Saccharomyces cerevisiae S288C: one gene and its partners. The main gene of each other region encodes a partner of the protein of the gene in region 3 in a complex. Each region holds a gene or a part of one and is shown on either strand. Other genes may lie near its edges. A codon is read from its position in the direction of its gene.

Region 1 (5,962 bases), on a different chromosome or scaffold from region 3:
CTCAAAGTCCTCCGTTGTGTCCTTGTCTTCACCACGTACTAAATCTCTGTCTTCTGAAGTAACTCTATCAATATTGGACTCAAGTATGGTACTATTTCTGACATAATCTATCAATTTGGACAAAACTTCAGGGTACTTCAAGTACACTAGTAGCTTGAAGTTCGAGCACATCAGTTCTGTATATAACTCCTCATCATCTAAAAGATCATTCAGTAGAGACAGGTTTGGCTTATAAGCTTTGTAGTCTTCTTCTCTGTTAGGCAGCTCATATTCTTCTTCTTCGTCTTCTGATTTAAAAGAATTGCTTTCTAAACTTTCATCTGTGCTATTAGAGTCAATTTTCCCTGCTTCCGTACTAGTGGGCTTATCATCGATCTTAATGAAAGCCCTGTTCAACAGTTTAGCTAATGGAGACTGTGAACCAAAATCTTGTCCAAACTTCCAAAAGGACCCTGACATATTTTTTCCTAATTATTAAATGGGCAAAACGATAAACGCCACTATTCTTAAACACTAACTAAAACGAATTTTTCAGAATCTCTAATCAACTAAAATTAGCATGTATTACCTCAAGCTAAAAATATTTAAAGATCTTAGTAAAATATATCTTTTGCGTACCTTTCCCAAATACACAAGCTAAACTACCCTTATCAAGCAGATCTGGTGAAATTTTAAACAAAAATAGTCCCGTTCGATGACTTCGAGCGATGCCCAAGCTTTTCTCATTCTCTTCGGAGTGTTTTGGCGTTAGCCGTCAATCCCTCGCAAAAAAAATTTTCTTCCCAGTTCAAAATGTAAAAAAAAAAATAAAAGGTATACGGTTACCCTTACCCTCAGTCCATCCAACCGTAGTGGTTATATAATAATACTAAGAGCACCGTTTTGTTCAAGGTTGTACTGTGTGATCTAGGTCGGCTATCCACGCAAGCATGGCATCGATCATGACCATGATTTCGTCTCCTATGGAAGGTTGAAGAAGGATCTTATTACGCAGTATATGCGTCCCCAATTCGTTGCATAGCTTTTCTAGCAGTTGCAGATTAAATATCTGGCAATAATTATAATACCTGCAATCATATGATATTTTCTTAATTAATAAACTTATTATGGTATCTGTGTCTAGTAATGTAACCTCTTGAATATTTTTTGGAGGTTGCAGGTATATTTTTAGCAGCTGCTGGCAACTTACGGGGTCGAATCGAGCTACTATGCTTGTTCTTAGACAAGCTACGGCATCTTCCCAATGCCAGGTACGCAGCATGATCAAACCCAAAAGTTCCCACTCTAATCCGCTGTGTTTTTCATCTTTATTGCTTAGGCTAATCTTGCTCAATTTCAAGTCTTGATATAAATCTAAAAATAAATCATCTAGCCACCCTTCACAAAACCTTTTCTTTCGGGATTCCATCGGTATATGACCGTTTTCATCGATAATGTTGTTAGAAGCTTGATAGAATTCAGTTTCCATCATGAAAGCTTCTGTTCGGATGTTTAATAAGCCATTCCAACCAATTTTGTTCACAATTTCCATTAATAACCCATATATTTTACCACTAAACCATCCCAATTGTTTGCCGATCGTATTCCTTGCTATTAAATTGATATTTTTTATGTTTTTGACCTCTTGAGGGGAGACATAATTAATCAGATTCACAGATTGTGGACCACAAATCGGACCCAACTTTATCGCAATATCATCCCAGATTTCCTTTGTATAACCGATTTTTTTTTCGTTTATCATTGCGATTCTTCCAAAAATTTGCCGTTTTAACTCATCCTCTTTCCAATTCCTCAACGTTCCCGAGAGATTCGTGAATTCCATTGCAGTCAAGTCGTAGTGTTCGCGGGTACCATTCAATGGCTTTTTATAATAATTGGAGGTAAGAAACCTACTGTACATTGTTTCCAGGTGTCCATCATTTTTGCGCAAACGAGGCATTGAATTTATTGCGAAGAGAGCCTTTTCATACTCCTCTTTTTTGATGTGGCATCTCGCTAGGTTGTACCAAGATTCAAAAGAGTCTAAGGCTAGTTCGGTTGATGTGTTAGAGACGCCTAATGCTAGTTCGTAATCACCCCTGTTTAACAAAAAATTTGTTTGAATGTTCAGCAAGTCACTCATGCAATTCATTAATCGTGCTGAATCAGCATCGCGAGGCGGTAAATCATTTAGCAGAGATAAAAGGGGGTCGAGCGTCTCATTTAAAATAGTTATCATGTCTAACTCCTTTGTTTCTATGTGATCTAGAATTGTGATCATAGCCGTCTTGTAGTATATGTCATGGATTGGATCTTTCTTGGTAAGTCCTTTCAGGTAGTCGATTGTAAAATCCACTAGGCTTGGCGTGATTGCAATAAAACTTTTTAAACTATACATTAAATAGTTATTGACAATGGTGGCTTGCATACTCTTGGTAGAATCCCACCCGCAATTCAGTGACCGTGGTAAGAATCGGCAGAGTAATTCTATGATCTTTTTGCAAGAGGAGATAGTATCTTTTCCAACGTAGAATGGACACTCTACTAAACCGGGAGGTTTTAACTCTGGATTAGTATTTGTTATTATCGCTCGGATGACAGAACTTGCGAACGTTTCTTCCCACATTTTTTCTGTCATGGTCAGGTCAGTGGTTTCCTTGTTACAGTCAATTGCCGTTGTCTGGAAAGTATCGTCAGCATCGTATCTAATACGGATGTCTAGATTGCTGAAAAAATTAAAACAGCAATAAGTCAATATGATATTATTCGATATATTTTTGGAAATCCGCTTACTCGATTTTAGCACTTCAAGAAACTCTACGGGCATTGCAGGACCGGAAACTTCGATCCCTGTAACGTAGAAATATTCACCAAACTCTTCTTTTTCATGTTTGTTTAAGTAGGACATGTGAACAATCTCAATGGGACCTAGTCCAACATTGCCAGAAGAAATTAAATCCTTGATTAAATGCGTTCTATTGTGCAGACACTCACCAAACTGCCTTTCCATAATTCGTGGACAACTTTTAAATATGTCTCGATTGAGGAATTGATAACCCTTTTGTACTGAAGGTGAGTTCCCAGGTGTATAATCGCCACCAGGTATTTCATTTTGCTTTTTGGTTTCCGATGGCCAAAACAAATTCATAAGGGCAATAGATGTAATCCTTTTTTGCACCAACAGCTTAAGAAAGGTGTTTGCTTTTAATGTGAGTTAAGTAATGTAATGATTTGTTAAGATCCTCTATTCCTTTTTGAGTATCTATTTATTTTCCTAAATTCTTCAAGGCTATTTTTACCATGAATCCGCTAAGATCTGTTTGGGTTCCGATTTTTCGAAGACACACAAAAATAATAGCCGGTTGCTTTCTAACACTACAGAAAGAGGTTTTTTCGAAAGAGTCTATTTCCTATATGCTAAAGTAGAGTTATGATTTCTTTATATTGAGTATGTATTGAATTATTTTCCAAAAAATCAACACCAGGTGAATACGGGGGTGGAATTGACTATTTGTAGCCGCTCTGCTATCACTGTTTTATTAGCAAATGGGTGCAGAGTGGAATCATAGTATACAGGATTACTATTGCTTTGGTTATGTGCATGAAATGGAATTGTGCTTGGGGTGCTAGGGAGTACCATTGGTGAAGTGGAATATGATCCAATAGGTTCGTCTATGGCGTTTTTGAAAATAGAAACTGGAGGTGGGCAACAGGGAACTTGCATCTTCTCATCTATTACCTGGCACCTTGTCCTTCTAACCAATTCCAAGGGGCCTTGTCGTGGGTCTTTCAATGTTTCGACAACGTTGAACGCCTGTCCTTTTAATACTGCCCATTGCTTCTTCCACATTCGGACGTTAAAATCTTGGTCCCTGCTAAATAGGGCCAAGAATTCTTGGTACGACTCTTCCCACCAATTAGTGCTTGTCAATATCGGTAGGAAATGAGATCTCATTTGCTCAGAAAATGGTTTGGCTAGTAGTTGCAGAGGCAAATACAACCAGCCATATGGGTACAGACGCCACTCATCAGGATGCTTCCAGGGAAAGGACAACCCATTGTCGATGGCGGCTAACTTGAGTCTCCACTTATTGTTTGAAAGTTTGATTAGTTTCACCATCCAATTGTCTAGACCTCTATCTGTGTTTCTCATTATATAATCAAGGATAATTAGTTTTTCTAGTTCCAATCTGAACTGACTCAAACTTGATTCTGTCCATTCAAATTTCGAATTTTCTTCAGATTCCGTCGAAATTGGAGAGGAATTTATTTGCTTGGACGGTTCTGTCTCATCTGTTAGGTTCCTGGTTGTCTCTGGTTTATGATTGATATCTTCGCCGGATGACTTACGATGAAATGAATGTTTAACATCTGAATACATCCCAGGTAATGGGTATTTATGAAAGAACTCATCGGCGTTGATGTACTCCTTCAAAAAAAGTTGGAAAGAACCCAGCTTTTTTTGTTTCTTCTTCTGAAGGTTGTATCCCAATACCCATTTTTTTCTATTATCATAAAAATTAAAAGACTCTATAGATGCAGTATCTGTATAGGGTACTAGATGCGTTTCCAGTCGCCTATCCAACAAACTAGCCGCACTTTCACAGATGTACCCGAGGTTTGGAATCAGACAACTTCTGCCAAACAGACATGGGAAAAACGTGCGGTGTGCCCATTTGGTCCATTTGGGAGAAAATGGGCCATATGGTTCCTCATCCTTGGGCTTGAAGACCCCCACCGGAACGCTTTCGTCGGCCCGTGTTCCATACACAAAGTACGACCCACTTGAGCCAGTTTGGATTCTCTCGAGTTCGCGTCCAAATGTCTCTACAGCCTCAATACAGTCAGAAACCAAATGGTTGAAGTTTTCCCTCTGTTCTTGTTCTTCTTTTCTTCGGAGCTGCTCATATGCTAGGCCCTTGGTTGGATATGCATGCAGCGGACGAAATACCGAATATTGAATCTCATATTGACTTCCTTCTTCTTCTTGCCCTGACGCTTTGTCCTCTGCATTATGAAGCAGTCCAACGGCAGGATTGGACCCTGAAGTCTGATCAGGTCGCGGGCTCTCGGACGGTACGTTGACCAGAGATTGATAGGAAGGGTGGAATACCTGAGGGGCCTCCGCTATGTCTGAATTCTGTGCATTCGAACCGACCCCTGGAGAAGCGTGCGTTATCGGGTTCTTACTTTTACAGTGATCTTGCTCATCACGGAACTGTAACCAATCGTAGCTGTTCACAACTATCTTCTGGTGAGGATTTACGGTATGATCATGCTGGTAAGCTTCGTTACTCATGCTTTGGTTGGCTTCTTGAAAGTGTCTAGTTCACTTTATGCCCGGTTATAAACATAAACTTTCACAGGGTTCTCTTTGATCACCTCTTTGTTTAATCTTATGAATCCAAGGGATTTTATCGGTCAAAGGGGAAATCAATGCGAAAGACAGTAATGATGAGAGAAAAACTCTCCGTAACCACCAAGTTTGGTTCAGCGCGACGAGATTTTTATCGATTATCGAGAAAAATACCTGTATATCTACATTTCTATGTCAGTGATATATACTTCTTAGATAAGTTATGCCACCAGTGCATACGCTTACGCACACACACGTATTCTTGTGCACACGCCTGTTACTTCTTGCAGACATCAGACATACTATTGTAATTCAAAAAAAAAAAGCGAATCTTCCCATGCCTGTTGCTGCTCTTGAATGGCGACAGCCTATTGCCCCAGTGTTCCCTCAACAACCTTGGTAGTTGGAGCGCAATTAGCGTATCCTGTACCATACTAATTCTCTTCTGCCCAACGACGGCTGCCATTAGTCAGCATGGCGCGCACGTGACTACAACTGTGGCTGGAAACCTTTTCGTCCTCCCCGGTTTTTCAGTGAGCCGACTCTACTACAATGCTTTTTCATTTTTCACTCAGAAAAACCTGCAATTTGCCAAATTGGCCATGCTCTGTGCCTCCCTTGACAAAG
Region 2 (5,926 bases), on a different chromosome or scaffold from region 3:
CCATTGCCAACCAACCTGGCTTGCCGTCACCGGGGTCTGTAAAATTTCTCTCGACAGCACCCATAACAGTAATACCCCAAATACCTTGGTCATCATTCCCCTCAACCATCGTTTGGTTGGACGGGATATAATCGTAATTGGAACCAGTTTGCGCTAATAGTGCATCGTATAGTAATTCTTGATATGTATCATTCTCACAAAGAAACCAATTTTCCAACATGCCACCAAATGCTTCCCCTGCATGCCACCAATAGTATGGTGACTGAAACATCCCAACGGTACCACCGTATCTAGTACCCTCATAGTAATCCAGCATACCACCTTGAATTAACGCTGTCGCATCACAAATTGACGTTTTGCTAGTAGTATCCAAATCCATGGCATGAGTGGCTTTAAAAAATGACAGAAACGTAAAGCATATCGATAAGATCATCTTCGCACTAATATTGACGATCATATCTGCGTTCTGGATATGATTTCGTTCTAATTTGTTCGTCCTATATAACAACCAAAAATTAATAAAGGTGATTCAAAATGAGATAAAGGACAATGTACACAGTCAATTACTTAATTAGATATTTGAGTAAAGCTGATCTTTTGGAGAAATGGGCTTTTCATTAATTTACATTCTATTTTTGGGTTATACTCAGTTTCGCTTTACGCGGATTACATTGTTTTTTTTTCGGGCGTGGCTCAGATTGTGAAAAAGAAATTAAACAATTTAAGATTACGGTTATCGCATTAGAGGCAGAATAACTTGAAAATGGGAAATTCCCCAAGAAGGTGACCTATACATGACAATGCCAGGATATCATACATAAAATACATAACCCGTTTCTTGTTAATTGATTTCTTTCACCTTTTTATTGATTGTATTCATCTTTTTCTAATTATCGAAAGTGTCATTCGTGAAATTCTTCAGAAAATTTAGAATGTTATCGTCAATCAATTGGGCTACTGGGTCAGAAAATCTAGAGGCAATTTCATTATGTACTTTAGTAATGCCCATATCTTGTACTGCAACACTCAGAGCATCTATTAATATTATTGAGAACTCGATGTACCAACGATGATTCCAGCAACAAATCTTGACTACTAGATCGATGATTGAGCTGTCGATGTCATTGATACTTGACAATATTTGAGAAGAGGTTAACTCGGAGTTTGCTGAGACTGAATCCCTCCTAATACGCTTATGCTCGTCAATGTAAAACTGTAATAGATTCTTTGCGCATACTGGAGAAAATCTTTGGGAAAGCCCAATTTGGAAAGCCTTCGCAGCTTCTGGAAGATGTCCCAGTCTTTTCGCACAAAGGCCGAATAATTCCCATTCAACAGTTAATTTGTGATATTTACTGTTTTGAGCATCAAAATACAATTGCTCTGATTGCCAATCGGTGTAAGTTTTCAAATCTTCGTATAGTAACATGAAGAGATTATCCAACCATCTTTCGCATAGCCTCTTTGATCTCATTTTGGATATATCATTACCGCGAACTTCTGCTTCATCAATGGAAGAAGTGGAGCCTTGGTACTCGTCTTCCATAACGAAAATTTTTGATCTATATTTCAACAGCTGCTCCCATCCTGTTATTTGGACAATTTCTGTCAATAATTTATAGGCTAGTTGGAAAGTAGACTTTAAACTTGACGCAGAGAGATTGACTAGGTTTGGATCTGCGGACTTTTGCTCCAACTGGACATCCATGGGGTTCAATGACGAAATCTCCTCAATTGAGGCATCCAATGGTAATGGCAGATGAAGATTTTCATCTGAAGTAATAGGCGCAATTCTTCTAAGAACGTATTTTTCCTTAACCTGTGACATGGGGCAGGCGTTTAACGATAGCAAGGCATTTGACATATCGTTTAGTTTAATGTATATTCTAGTCAATAAATACCAAGTTTTAAATTCGTTTGGTGCACAGTTAACAGCCTCCATGGCTACTTCCTTAGCAAGCTTGTAATCTCTCTTGACATCCAGTAAGAATTCACTTTGAATACTTAATAATTCGGATTTGAAGATTAGCTGGATATGGCTAGTCTTTGAATCGTCGGCTAAGAACGAAGAGGGGGAATTTAGTTGCTCGTTGATCAGGTCAACTGCATCTATCTCTAAATCGCACGCAAAATAAACACGAATTAATATTATTACTGCTTCTGGATGAATTTCTATTAACTTCTTGAGCATTTTACGACATGCTTCCAAACTCTTAGTTAACCTAACTATTTCCACTAAAGTTTCCACTAAATAATTATTGGTTAACGAGGGATTTAAAACGTGAGTAGGTGCATCTAAATAAACACCTTTTTCATAGACCAAGGGGAACAGTTTAATAAAGTTATTGGCAACATCTTCCAACTCACCCGAGGTAAATGGATTGAAAATTAGTGTTTCTACCAAATTCTGGGATTCTCCATCCGCACGATTATCTTTCATAATCATAATGTCACGTACAATACCACTCATAAACGTTTCCGCCCAAATCATGTTGACGTTTAAATCCTGTGAGTTGCGGCCAGATGACGCTTCTGCCACGGAGGGAAGTTGCGATTGTTCACCGTCGCTATTTATAATGTAGGTTTGCACAGTTCCTGGAATGTGAACTATAATGTTAACATCATATTTCCTAAACGCATTCCAAGAACTGATAGAAATCTTCGATACGTGAAAGTGCTTCTTCTTACCAAACCAAATTTGGGGCGTGTCTAAGAAAAGATCGGTTATCTTTTTGGCAAAGATTGTAATAGAAGTTGGATCCGAAGTATCGATACCCATACAGTAAAAGAAAGTGCCGATCTGCCCCTTTAATTTGTCATGGGAATGTAACTCCGTAACTATGGTCGTAGGATCTTGTCCATTGATGTTTGAAGTTGCTCCGTTATCGTTGGCGGAGGCAGTAGCAGTTGTTGTGCTCGAGGATGAAGGTAACGATTTGATCAAAGTAATTAAATCAGGCGGACCCAAGTCTTGGAATTGTCCCACTCTGGCTCTCCTCTGGTGTAGCGCATAGCCTATCACGTCTTCTTTCACTTCCGGTATGGAGGTTTGAGACAACATGGTTAGGACTTCAAGTTTTCAGTTTATCCTTTTCACGTTCTAAAAATCAATACAGCGCGGAAAGTGCTCTCAAGAAGATGAATTGAGATGTTTAAGGGTCCATTTGTTACTACATTATCGTGTAGATCTCATTTCTCTAACTTTCCATGTAGGAAAGGGCAGGCAGGAAAAAGAACATTAGAGAACATGATCACGATACACGACTAGCGCATTATTTAGTGTATATTACTCTATTATGCATTCTACATGACGCATCTTCCGGAAGAACTTGATTTAGTGTACTTATGATATATAAGCGGTGCATTCACATAGACTTTGGGTCCTCAAGGTCCCACTCCTTCGCTGTGAGACAATATTTTTCTGGGGGAAGCCTGACACCCCACGTACCCATCACTTGAGGTAATGCCTTCTTGTTTCTTTCCGCAGCTAACTGTAACATGAGCTCCTTAGGTGCCGTAGGCTTAAATTGGTATTGTGTTCTCGCTGCAATGGCAAGCCGTATGTCTTCTACTCCTAATCCACTGCCGGCAGAATTTCCACTGCCAGCGTAGTCGTTGTAAACCAACGCGTCCTTAAGGACTCCTTGTGTGTACCTATGTGCAAAATCCATCAATTGTAGCGGTACTTGGTCCTCATATTGATGAATCGACTGTGATGCGAGGAGCAGATGCAAAAGACGGACATCTCGTGGCGTTTCCTCTTGTGTTGAGTCCGGACCAACTTCTGATACTGAGCCCACTGAGTTTTTATTCAAAACATTCTTGCCTCCGCCGTTCATAATGGTCTGTGAAGTCCTCTAGTCTTTTCTTGTTGTCGTGTTGTTTCATAATGTCAAATTCTACTTTTGATTTAAAGCTCTTAGTTTGGTCATGGAATGCATGTCACTATGCACGTTGTGGGACAATTAATGGAAAAAAATTTATTAGGAAGATATTGATCAAAGGCATAATATCACGGTAAAAGGTGAATATAGGCCATTTTAACAGGCTGTCTTTCGAAACAGATTTTTAGCTATGGCTACCTTGCACTTCGTTCCTCAGCACGAGGAAGAACAAGTTTACTCCATCTCTGGGAAGGCACTCAAGTTAACAACCAGTGACGATATCAAACCATACCTGGAAGAATTGGCAGCTTTGAAAACCTGTACCAAATTAGACCTTTCAGGGAATACAATCGGTACTGAAGCTTCGGAAGCATTAGCTAAATGCATCGCTGAAAATACACAGGTCAGGGAATCTTTGGTTGAAGTAAATTTTGCTGACTTATACACTTCGAGGTTGGTTGACGAAGTCGTTGATTCGTTGAAGTTTTTATTGCCTGTTCTGTTGAAATGTCCTCACTTGGAGATTGTGAACCTTTCTGATAATGCGTTTGGGCTAAGAACAATCGAGTTACTAGAAGATTACATTGCACATGCCGTGAATATCAAACATTTGATCTTAAGTAACAATGGTATGGGCCCTTTTGCTGGTGAAAGGATTGGTAAGGCCCTATTTCATCTCGCTCAAAATAAGAAAGCTGCTTCCAAACCATTTTTGGAAACTTTTATCTGTGGTAGAAATAGATTAGAGAATGGATCCGCAGTCTACTTAGCTCTGGGTTTGAAAAGCCACTCCGAAGGTTTGAAAGTCGTAAAGCTGTACCAAAATGGTATTAGGCCTAAAGGTGTCGCCACGCTAATTCATTACGGTTTACAGTACTTGAAAAACTTGGAAATCTTGGATCTTCAAGACAATACTTTCACGAAACATGCTTCTTTGATCCTTGCTAAGGCCTTGCCTACATGGAAGGATAGTTTATTTGAATTGAATTTGAACGACTGTCTTTTGAAAACTGCTGGTTCAGATGAAGTCTTTAAAGTATTCACCGAAGTTAAATTCCCCAATTTGCATGTCTTGAAATTCGAATATAATGAAATGGCTCAAGAAACCATTGAAGTATCCTTCTTACCGGCTATGGAAAAGGGAAATTTACCTGAATTGGAAAAGCTAGAAATAAATGGTAACAGATTAGATGAAGATTCTGATGCTTTAGATTTGCTCCAAAGCAAATTTGATGATTTAGAGGTTGACGATTTTGAAGAGGTCGATAGTGAAGATGAGGAAGGCGAGGACGAGGAAGACGAGGACGAGGATGAAAAACTCGAAGAAATTGAAACGGAAAGGCTTGAAAAGGAACTGCTAGAAGTACAAGTAGATGATCTTGCTGAACGTTTAGCTGAAACTGAAATCAAATAGCTATGAATAAAAGTAAAAATAAACACAATCAACTGTGGACGAGGTTCAGGCAAATATCATGGTGACACGCTTATAGATAGTTATCGGGTAAGTTAAAAAACCAAATAGCTGATGTATGTATATGTATGCAAAAGATATAAAATATATATTTCTATTACAGGTACAACAGGTCCAGTAAGAAGCCAAGCAAAAAACAGCATTATCGTCTAGATGCTCCTTTCTTCGCCAGAAAATCTGCCATTTCATTTCCTGGATCACCATCGTGTCCTTTTACCCATTCAATCTGAAATTTACCATTATTTTTGAAGCACTCTTTATTCAACTCATAGTACTTTTTAACTTTAACGAACCTCTGCACCAAAGGAACAATTAAATCAGAATTAGGTAGCCCTTCAAGTTTTTTATTATCATACGTCATATACCTGTCATTTAATAATTTGGTTACGTACTCTGAATCAGTTTTGATTTGATAATTTACTTTTTCCTTTTCATTAGTTAACTTTTCCCAGATTTTCTTCAAAGCTTCTGATACTGCTTCGATTTCAGCTCTATTATTAGTTTGAGCTCCCGATAATAAGGGTTCTGAAATATTTTCCTCTGGCGCTCCTTCAAAATATGCACCATAACC
Region 3 (5,847 bases):
ATTGGTGTGAAAATAATGTTGCTGGCTGGTGGTGACCTAATAGAGTCAATGGGTGAACCAAACGTTTGGGCGGACGCCGATTTACATCACATTCTCGGTAATTACGGTTGTTTGATTGTCGAACGTACTGGTTCTGATGTAAGGTCTTTTTTGTTATCCCATGATATTATGTATGAACATAGAAGGAATATTCTTATCATCAAGCAACTCATCTATAATGATATTTCTTCCACGAAAGTTCGTCTATTTATCAGACGCGCCATGTCTGTACAATATTTGTTACCTAATTCGGTCATCAGGTATATCCAAGAACATAGACTATATGTGGACCAAACCGAACCTGTTAAGCAAGTTCTTGGAAACAAAGAATGATTTGCCGTCCGGAATTGCTTCGTTCTTTCTTTCATCTTTCTCTTTACAATTTCCAATTTTCCCCTACAGGAATTAATTGGAGGGTACAAGCGAGTAGAAATGTGACATATGACTTACCTATCTGTGTTTTAGTATAGTTTTTTTTTCTGTAGTATAATTCACTTTTACACTAATTTTTTCGCCTTTTTCTCTTAAAGAGCTAATTTCTATAACCTTCAGCGGTTATACCAAATATAAAAAATGGAAGGAAAACAAACAGTAAGAAATAAGCGCAACAGCACGTTAGTTCACCATTGGATTCCAACATTTCAAAATTTAATCTAATGGCAAGAGATATCACATTTTTGACCGTATTTTTAGAAAGTTGTGGCGCTGTAAATAATGATGAGGCAGGAAAATTGTTATCTGCTTGGACTTCAACCGTACGCATTGAGGGACCGGAATCAACCGACTCTAATTCATTATATATTCCACTGCTACCACCTGGAATGTTGAAAGTATGTTTCTCCTAGCAAAATTAAAACCCATCCGTGAATGAAGCGTTACTAACTATAATAACTGGTAGCTTTGTCACTCGTACCAGGAAAAGTGAAGATTAAACTGAATTTTAAAATGAACGATCGATTAGTTACGGAAGAGCAAGAGTTGTTTACAAAATTGCGCGAGATTGTAGGTTCAAGTATTCGCTTTTGGGAGGAACAACTGTTTTATCAAGTTCAAGATGTAAGCACCATAGAAAACCACGTCATTCTCAGTTTAAAATGTACAATTTTAACGGATGCTCAGATAAGTACGTTCATAAGCAAACCCAGAGAGCTTCATACGCATGCCAAAGGATATCCTGAAATCTATTACCTTTCCGAGTTATCAACAACTGTCAATTTTTTTTCTAAAGAGGGAAACTATGTCGAAATAAGCCAGGTTATTCCTCATTTTAATGAATATTTTTCCTCTTTAATAGTGTCTCAATTGGAATTTGAATACCCGATGGTCTTCTCCATGATTTCAAGGCTCCGATTGAAGTGGCAACAAAGTTCGCTCGCTCCGATATCCTACGCCCTAACGAGCAATTCAGTACTTCTTCCAATAATGCTTAACATGATTGCCCAAGACAAATCTTCAACAACCGCGTATCAAATTCTGTGTCGAAGAAGAGGTCCTCCAATTCAGAATTTTCAAATTTTTTCCTTACCGGCTGTAACGTACAATAAGTAGCATGCATAAAATATAATTTAATCAAATACTTTTGGGCAATTAAAATTTTAGTTAACAATAGTTATGCAATGCGCTTTATGTTCATATGATACCGTTTATAAGCTATTGCCATATCCTTATCTTATTGCTTCCAGTAGCCTCGAGTCGACCACTAAAAAGATGTCACTTAAGACGGAAATTATGTAGCTGCACTTCTTTTTTAACAAGTTCGGTCGGCCCTTCAAGTTCTCCTTTCTAAAGCCTCATTATTTATTGCGTAGATGCTAAATGTTATCGCGGTTTAGCTTGCATGTTACGTTTCCGTTTTAGAACCTGGTCGAGTAGCGAATAATGTCTTCAGTTGATGTACTGTTAACAGTAGGTAAGTTGGATGCCTCATTGGCGTTACTGACTACTCAGGATCATCATGTTATTGAGTTTCCTACAGTATTATTACCAGAAAATGTTAAAGCTGGATCTATCATAAAAATGCAAGTTTCACAAAATTTAGAGGAGGAAAAAAAACAAAGGAATCATTTTAAGAGTATACAAGCCAAAATTTTGGAGAAGTATGGTACCCATAAACCGGAGAGCCCAGTTTTGAAAATTGTTAACGTTACGCAAACGAGCTGTGTTCTAGCATGGGATCCATTGAAACTTGGCTCAGCAAAATTGAAATCACTGATCCTTTATAGGAAGGGAATACGTTCAATGGTAATTCCAAATCCATTCAAAGTGACTACCACGAAAATATCCGGTCTTTCCGTTGATACGCCATACGAATTTCAATTGAAACTGATAACCACGTCAGGAACATTATGGTCTGAAAAGGTTATATTGCGTACACATAAGATGACTGACATGTCTGGTATCACTGTATGTTTGGGTCCATTGGATCCATTGAAAGAAATTTCAGACTTACAGATATCCCAATGTTTGTCTCACATCGGGGCGAGACCTTTACAACGTCATGTTGCGATAGATACTACGCATTTTGTCTGTAACGATCTAGACAATGAAGAAAGCAATGAAGAGCTTATAAGGGCAAAACATAACAACATACCAATTGTCAGACCGGAATGGGTGAGAGCTTGTGAGGTTGAGAAAAGAATCGTTGGTGTTAGAGGATTTTACTTAGATGCAGATCAAAGTATACTGAAAAACTACACATTCCCACCAGTTAATGAGGAAGAACTTTCGTACTCAAAGGAGAATGAGCCGGTAGCCGAAGTAGCGGATGAAAATAAGATGCCCGAGGACACAACAGATGTCGAACAGGTTGCATCACCTAATGACAATGAGAGTAATCCTTCAGAAGCTAAGGAACAAGGAGAAAAGAGTGGACATGAAACTGCCCCAGTAAGTCCTGTAGAAGATCCATTGCATGCTTCGACGGCTTTGGAGAATGAAACCACCATCGAAACCGTCAACCCCTCCGTAAGAAGTTTGAAAAGCGAACCTGTTGGTACTCCCAATATAGAGGAAAACAAAGCGGACTCTTCCGCAGAAGCCGTGGTAGAAGAACCGAATGAAGCTGTGGCTGAAAGTTCTCCAAATGAAGAAGCAACGGGACAGAAAAGTGAGGATACCGATACACATTCTAACGAACAAGCTGATAATGGATTTGTACAGACTGAAGAAGTAGCTGAAAACAACATAACCACAGAAAGTGCAGGGGAAAATAACGAACCTGCAGATGATGCAGCAATGGAATTTGGACGTCCAGAAGCTGAAATTGAAACTCCAGAAGTAAATGAGTCTATAGAAGATGCCAATGAACCTGCGGAGGATTCCAATGAACCTGTGGAGGATTCCAACAAACCTGTGAAGGATTCCAACAAACCTGTGGAGGATTCCAACAAACCTGTGGAGGATTCCAACAAACCTGTGGAGGATTCCAACAAACCTGTGGAGGATGCCAATGAACCTGTGGAAGATACCAGTGAACCTGTGGAGGATGCCGGTGAACCCGTACAAGAAACCAACGAGTTTACTACCGACATTGCCTCTCCAAGACATCAAGAAGAAGATATAGAACTTGAAGCCGAACCTAAAGATGCTACCGAAAGTGTTGCAGTCGAGCCATCCAATGAAGATGTAAAACCAGAAGAAAAAGGTTCAGAGGCAGAAGACGATATCAACAACGTTTCCAAGGAGGCTGCCTCTGGTGAGAGTACTACCCACCAAAAAACTGAGGCCTCTGCTTCTCTTGAAAGCAGTGCCGTCACGGAAGAACAAGAGACAACGGAAGCCGAAGTAAATACAGATGACGTTTTGTCCACTAAAGAAGCTAAAAAAAATACTGGCAACAGCAACAGTAATAAGAAGAAGAATAAGAAGAATAAGAAGAAAGGGAAAAAGAAATGATTAATGGATGCCTTCAATGAGTTCCACGACGCACGTTTATTTTTTCGACTGAGAATCCCTCAGCAAATATAATCTATTTTTTATATATCTGTGTATATGTAAGCATGTATAACTAGTTACAAATATGATAACTGCTTTGGCGATCACTTCATTTTCTTGAGAGGGGTACTCAGTAGCCGCCAAGCACGAAATGTCCGTTATTAAAAATTGGGGAGTGAATCTTAAAAGCCCGAAAAGGAAATTCAAAATCTGTCTATTTATAGGCCGTCGCGCTCTACGAAAACGCGAAATTATTCAAACGGAAAACGGAAAAAAATCTAAAAAAAGAAATTAATTGAGAGATCTCACGGAAATGCCGCGAGGAATGTTTCTCGAGGCTGAGCGGCGTGGTCTGTGCAAAAAAATGGCAATTTTTTTGTAGGAGTTTGCATTGGGCCATTCAGAAGGAGCACCGTTAGATGGGATGGTAAATGAATTTGCTGTTTCAGATTTGAATCAATCTTTACCCGTTATTTTTGCCGTTTTGCTTTCATAATCTGCAAATTAACAAAGTCATAAAGAACATAAAGACATCACCCCAGTTTTTACACTCTTTTTTCCTGTGTTTGGTTTAGCACAACTTTCCAATAACCAAGTTGGTTTCAGATCATCCCCATATTATTTTCTAGTTTCATTTACTTACCAAACTCACCATTCAAGGCTTTCAAATTAAGTTACGAGTACAGTGGACCATTTTTTTCTGATTCTTCATATTTTCCGTTATAAGTCTTATAAGGAAGGTATACATTTATATTGCGAATTTGAAAAATAATTTAAAGCTGACTTTGCGTTTTAGGTAGGCTAGAAAAGAATACAACTATCCCTAAACACATTCTAGATTCACGAAGACGCCTCTGCCTCAAAGACATACTATATTTTTACTCTCGTTGAACAAATAGTACCATTATTTCGCTACTTTCGTTGAAGATTGGACATATAAAATACGCAAATCATAGTATGTTGTCTTTCACAACCAAGAATAGTTTCCGCTTATTACTTTTAATACTGTCATGCATATCGACGATACGCGCACAATTTTTCGTGCAATCATCATCTTCGAATTCTTCAGCAGTATCTACTGCACGTTCTTCCGTAAGTAGAGTTAGTTCTTCAAGTTCCATTTTGTCATCCAGTATGGTTTCTTCCTCAAGTGCTGACTCATCTTCCCTTACTTCATCGACATCAAGTAGGTCCCTCGTGTCACATACGAGTTCGTCTACCAGCATTGCCTCCATATCGTTCACATCATTCAGTTTCTCATCAGATTCAAGCACCAGCAGCTCTTCCTCTGCTTCTTCAGATTCTTCATCCTCCTCATCCTTTTCCATCTCTTCGACATCCGCAACTTCTGAATCATCGACGTCTTCTACGCAAACGTCAACATCATCTTCATCCTCACTGTCGTCAACGCCGTCCTCTTCATCATCCCCATCAACAATCACTTCTGCACCTTCAACCTCCTCCACACCATCCACTACTGCCTATAATCAAGGAAGCACTATCACCAGTATTATTAACGGTAAGACGATTCTCTCAAATCATTATACTACCGTTACGTACACACCATCAGCAACCGCTGATTCAAGCAATAAATCCAAAAGTTCGGGTCTTTCTAAAAAAAATAGAAACATCGTCATTGGTTGTGTGGTTGGTATTGGTGTACCACTGATTCTGGTGATACTGGCTTTAATTTACATGTTTTGTATCCAATCATCAAGGACGGACTTTATTGACTCAGATGGTAAGGTCGTTACGGCATATAGAGCTAACAAATTTACGAAATGGTGGTATATGCTTTTGGGTAAGAAAGTTAGTGATGAATACCACTCCGATTCACCATTAGGTGGTAGTGCATCGTCCGCAGGTGGTTTAGAC

What was found.
Region 1: the proteins of CHS5 (region 3) and CHS6 are in contact, whole or in part, in a crystal structure (PDB 4YG8), measured with the Saccharomyces cerevisiae proteins. Residues at the interface, in NP_013434.1 of Saccharomyces cerevisiae: Glu56 (codon at 2,083), Gln59 (codon at 2,092), Arg60 (codon at 2,095), Phe63 (codon at 2,104), Lys64 (codon at 2,107), Ile66 (codon at 2,113), Gln67 (codon at 2,116), Lys69 (codon at 2,122), Ile70 (codon at 2,125), Leu71 (codon at 2,128), Lys73 (codon at 2,134), Tyr74 (codon at 2,137), Gly75 (codon at 2,140), Thr76 (codon at 2,143), His77 (codon at 2,146); in NP_012436.1 of Saccharomyces cerevisiae: Glu301 (codon at 2,227), Leu302 (codon at 2,224), Ile305 (codon at 2,215), Thr306 (codon at 2,212), Asn309 (codon at 2,203), Leu312 (codon at 2,194), Asp313 (codon at 2,191), Leu316 (codon at 2,182), Asn320 (codon at 2,170), Met336 (codon at 2,122), Leu340 (codon at 2,110), Gln343 (codon at 2,101), Phe346 (codon at 2,092), Leu347 (codon at 2,089), Arg350 (codon at 2,080), Asp352 (codon at 2,074), Leu355 (codon at 2,065), Gly358 (codon at 2,056), Val359 (codon at 2,053), Thr362 (codon at 2,044), Glu365 (codon at 2,035).
Region 2: the proteins of CHS5 (region 3) and BCH1 are in contact, whole or in part, in a crystal structure (PDB 4Q66), measured with the Saccharomyces cerevisiae proteins. Residues at the interface, in NP_013434.1 of Saccharomyces cerevisiae: Ala15 (codon at 1,960), Ser16 (codon at 1,963), Gln59 (codon at 2,092), His62 (codon at 2,101), Phe63 (codon at 2,104), Lys64 (codon at 2,107), Ile66 (codon at 2,113), Gln67 (codon at 2,116), Ala68 (codon at 2,119), Lys69 (codon at 2,122), Ile70 (codon at 2,125), Leu71 (codon at 2,128), Lys73 (codon at 2,134), Tyr74 (codon at 2,137), Gly75 (codon at 2,140), Thr76 (codon at 2,143), His77 (codon at 2,146), Lys78 (codon at 2,149), Pro79 (codon at 2,152), Ser105 (codon at 2,230), Ala106 (codon at 2,233), Lys107 (codon at 2,236), Lys109 (codon at 2,242), Ser110 (codon at 2,245), Pro124 (codon at 2,287), Asn125 (codon at 2,290), Phe127 (codon at 2,296), Lys128 (codon at 2,299), Thr151 (codon at 2,368), Thr152 (codon at 2,371); in NP_013964.1 of Saccharomyces cerevisiae: Asp314 (codon at 2,122), Leu315 (codon at 2,119), Glu316 (codon at 2,116), Ile317 (codon at 2,113), Asp318 (codon at 2,110), Val320 (codon at 2,104), Asp321 (codon at 2,101), Asn324 (codon at 2,092), Leu327 (codon at 2,083), Asn328 (codon at 2,080), Lys348 (codon at 2,020), Leu352 (codon at 2,008), Gln355 (codon at 1,999), Leu359 (codon at 1,987), Lys363 (codon at 1,975), Asp365 (codon at 1,969), Leu368 (codon at 1,960), Glu371 (codon at 1,951), Val372 (codon at 1,948), Glu375 (codon at 1,939), Val505 (codon at 1,549), Lys533 (codon at 1,465), Arg534 (codon at 1,462), Leu535 (codon at 1,459), Arg626 (codon at 1,186), Arg627 (codon at 1,183), Ser629 (codon at 1,177), Val630 (codon at 1,174), Ser638 (codon at 1,150), Ile641 (codon at 1,141).

The regions. Positions count from the first base shown.
Region 1 is NC_001142.9:236,579-242,540, reverse strand, and holds CHS6 (Chs6p), read right to left. Parts: upstream 3,128-5,962; coding exon 887-3,127; downstream 1-886. Other genes in the region: SAP185 (Sap185p), read right to left, coding at 1-459; 1-phosphatidylinositol 4-kinase LSB6, read right to left, coding at 3,455-5,278. UniProt on the Saccharomyces cerevisiae protein: Member of the CHS5-ARF1P-binding proteins (CHAPS) which mediates export of specific cargo proteins, including chitin synthase CHS3.
Region 2 is NC_001145.3:740,884-746,809, reverse strand, and holds BCH1 (exomer complex subunit), read right to left. Parts: upstream 3,062-5,926; coding exon 887-3,061; downstream 1-886. Other genes in the region: DFG5 (putative mannan endo-1,6-alpha-mannosidase), read right to left, coding at 1-457; TAF9 (chromatin modification protein), read right to left, coding at 3,366-3,839; GTPase-activating protein RNA1, read left to right, coding at 4,075-5,298; RNH1 (RNA-DNA hybrid ribonuclease), read right to left, coding at 5,498-5,926. UniProt on the Saccharomyces cerevisiae protein: Member of the CHS5-ARF1P-binding proteins (CHAPS) which mediates export of specific cargo proteins, including chitin synthase CHS3.
Region 3 is NC_001144.5:785,747-791,593, forward strand, and holds CHS5 (Chs5p), read left to right. Parts: upstream 1-1,917; coding exon 1,918-3,933; downstream 3,934-5,847. Other genes in the region: nicotinamide-nucleotide adenylyltransferase NMA1, read left to right, coding at 1-372; REC102 (Rec102p), read left to right, coding at 696-869, 967-1,587; JIP3 (Jip3p), read right to left, coding at 4,923-5,300; MID2 (Mid2p), read left to right, coding at 4,930-5,847. UniProt on the Saccharomyces cerevisiae protein: Component of the CHS5/6 complex which mediates export of specific cargo proteins, including chitin synthase CHS3. Also involved in targeting FUS1 to sites of polarized growth.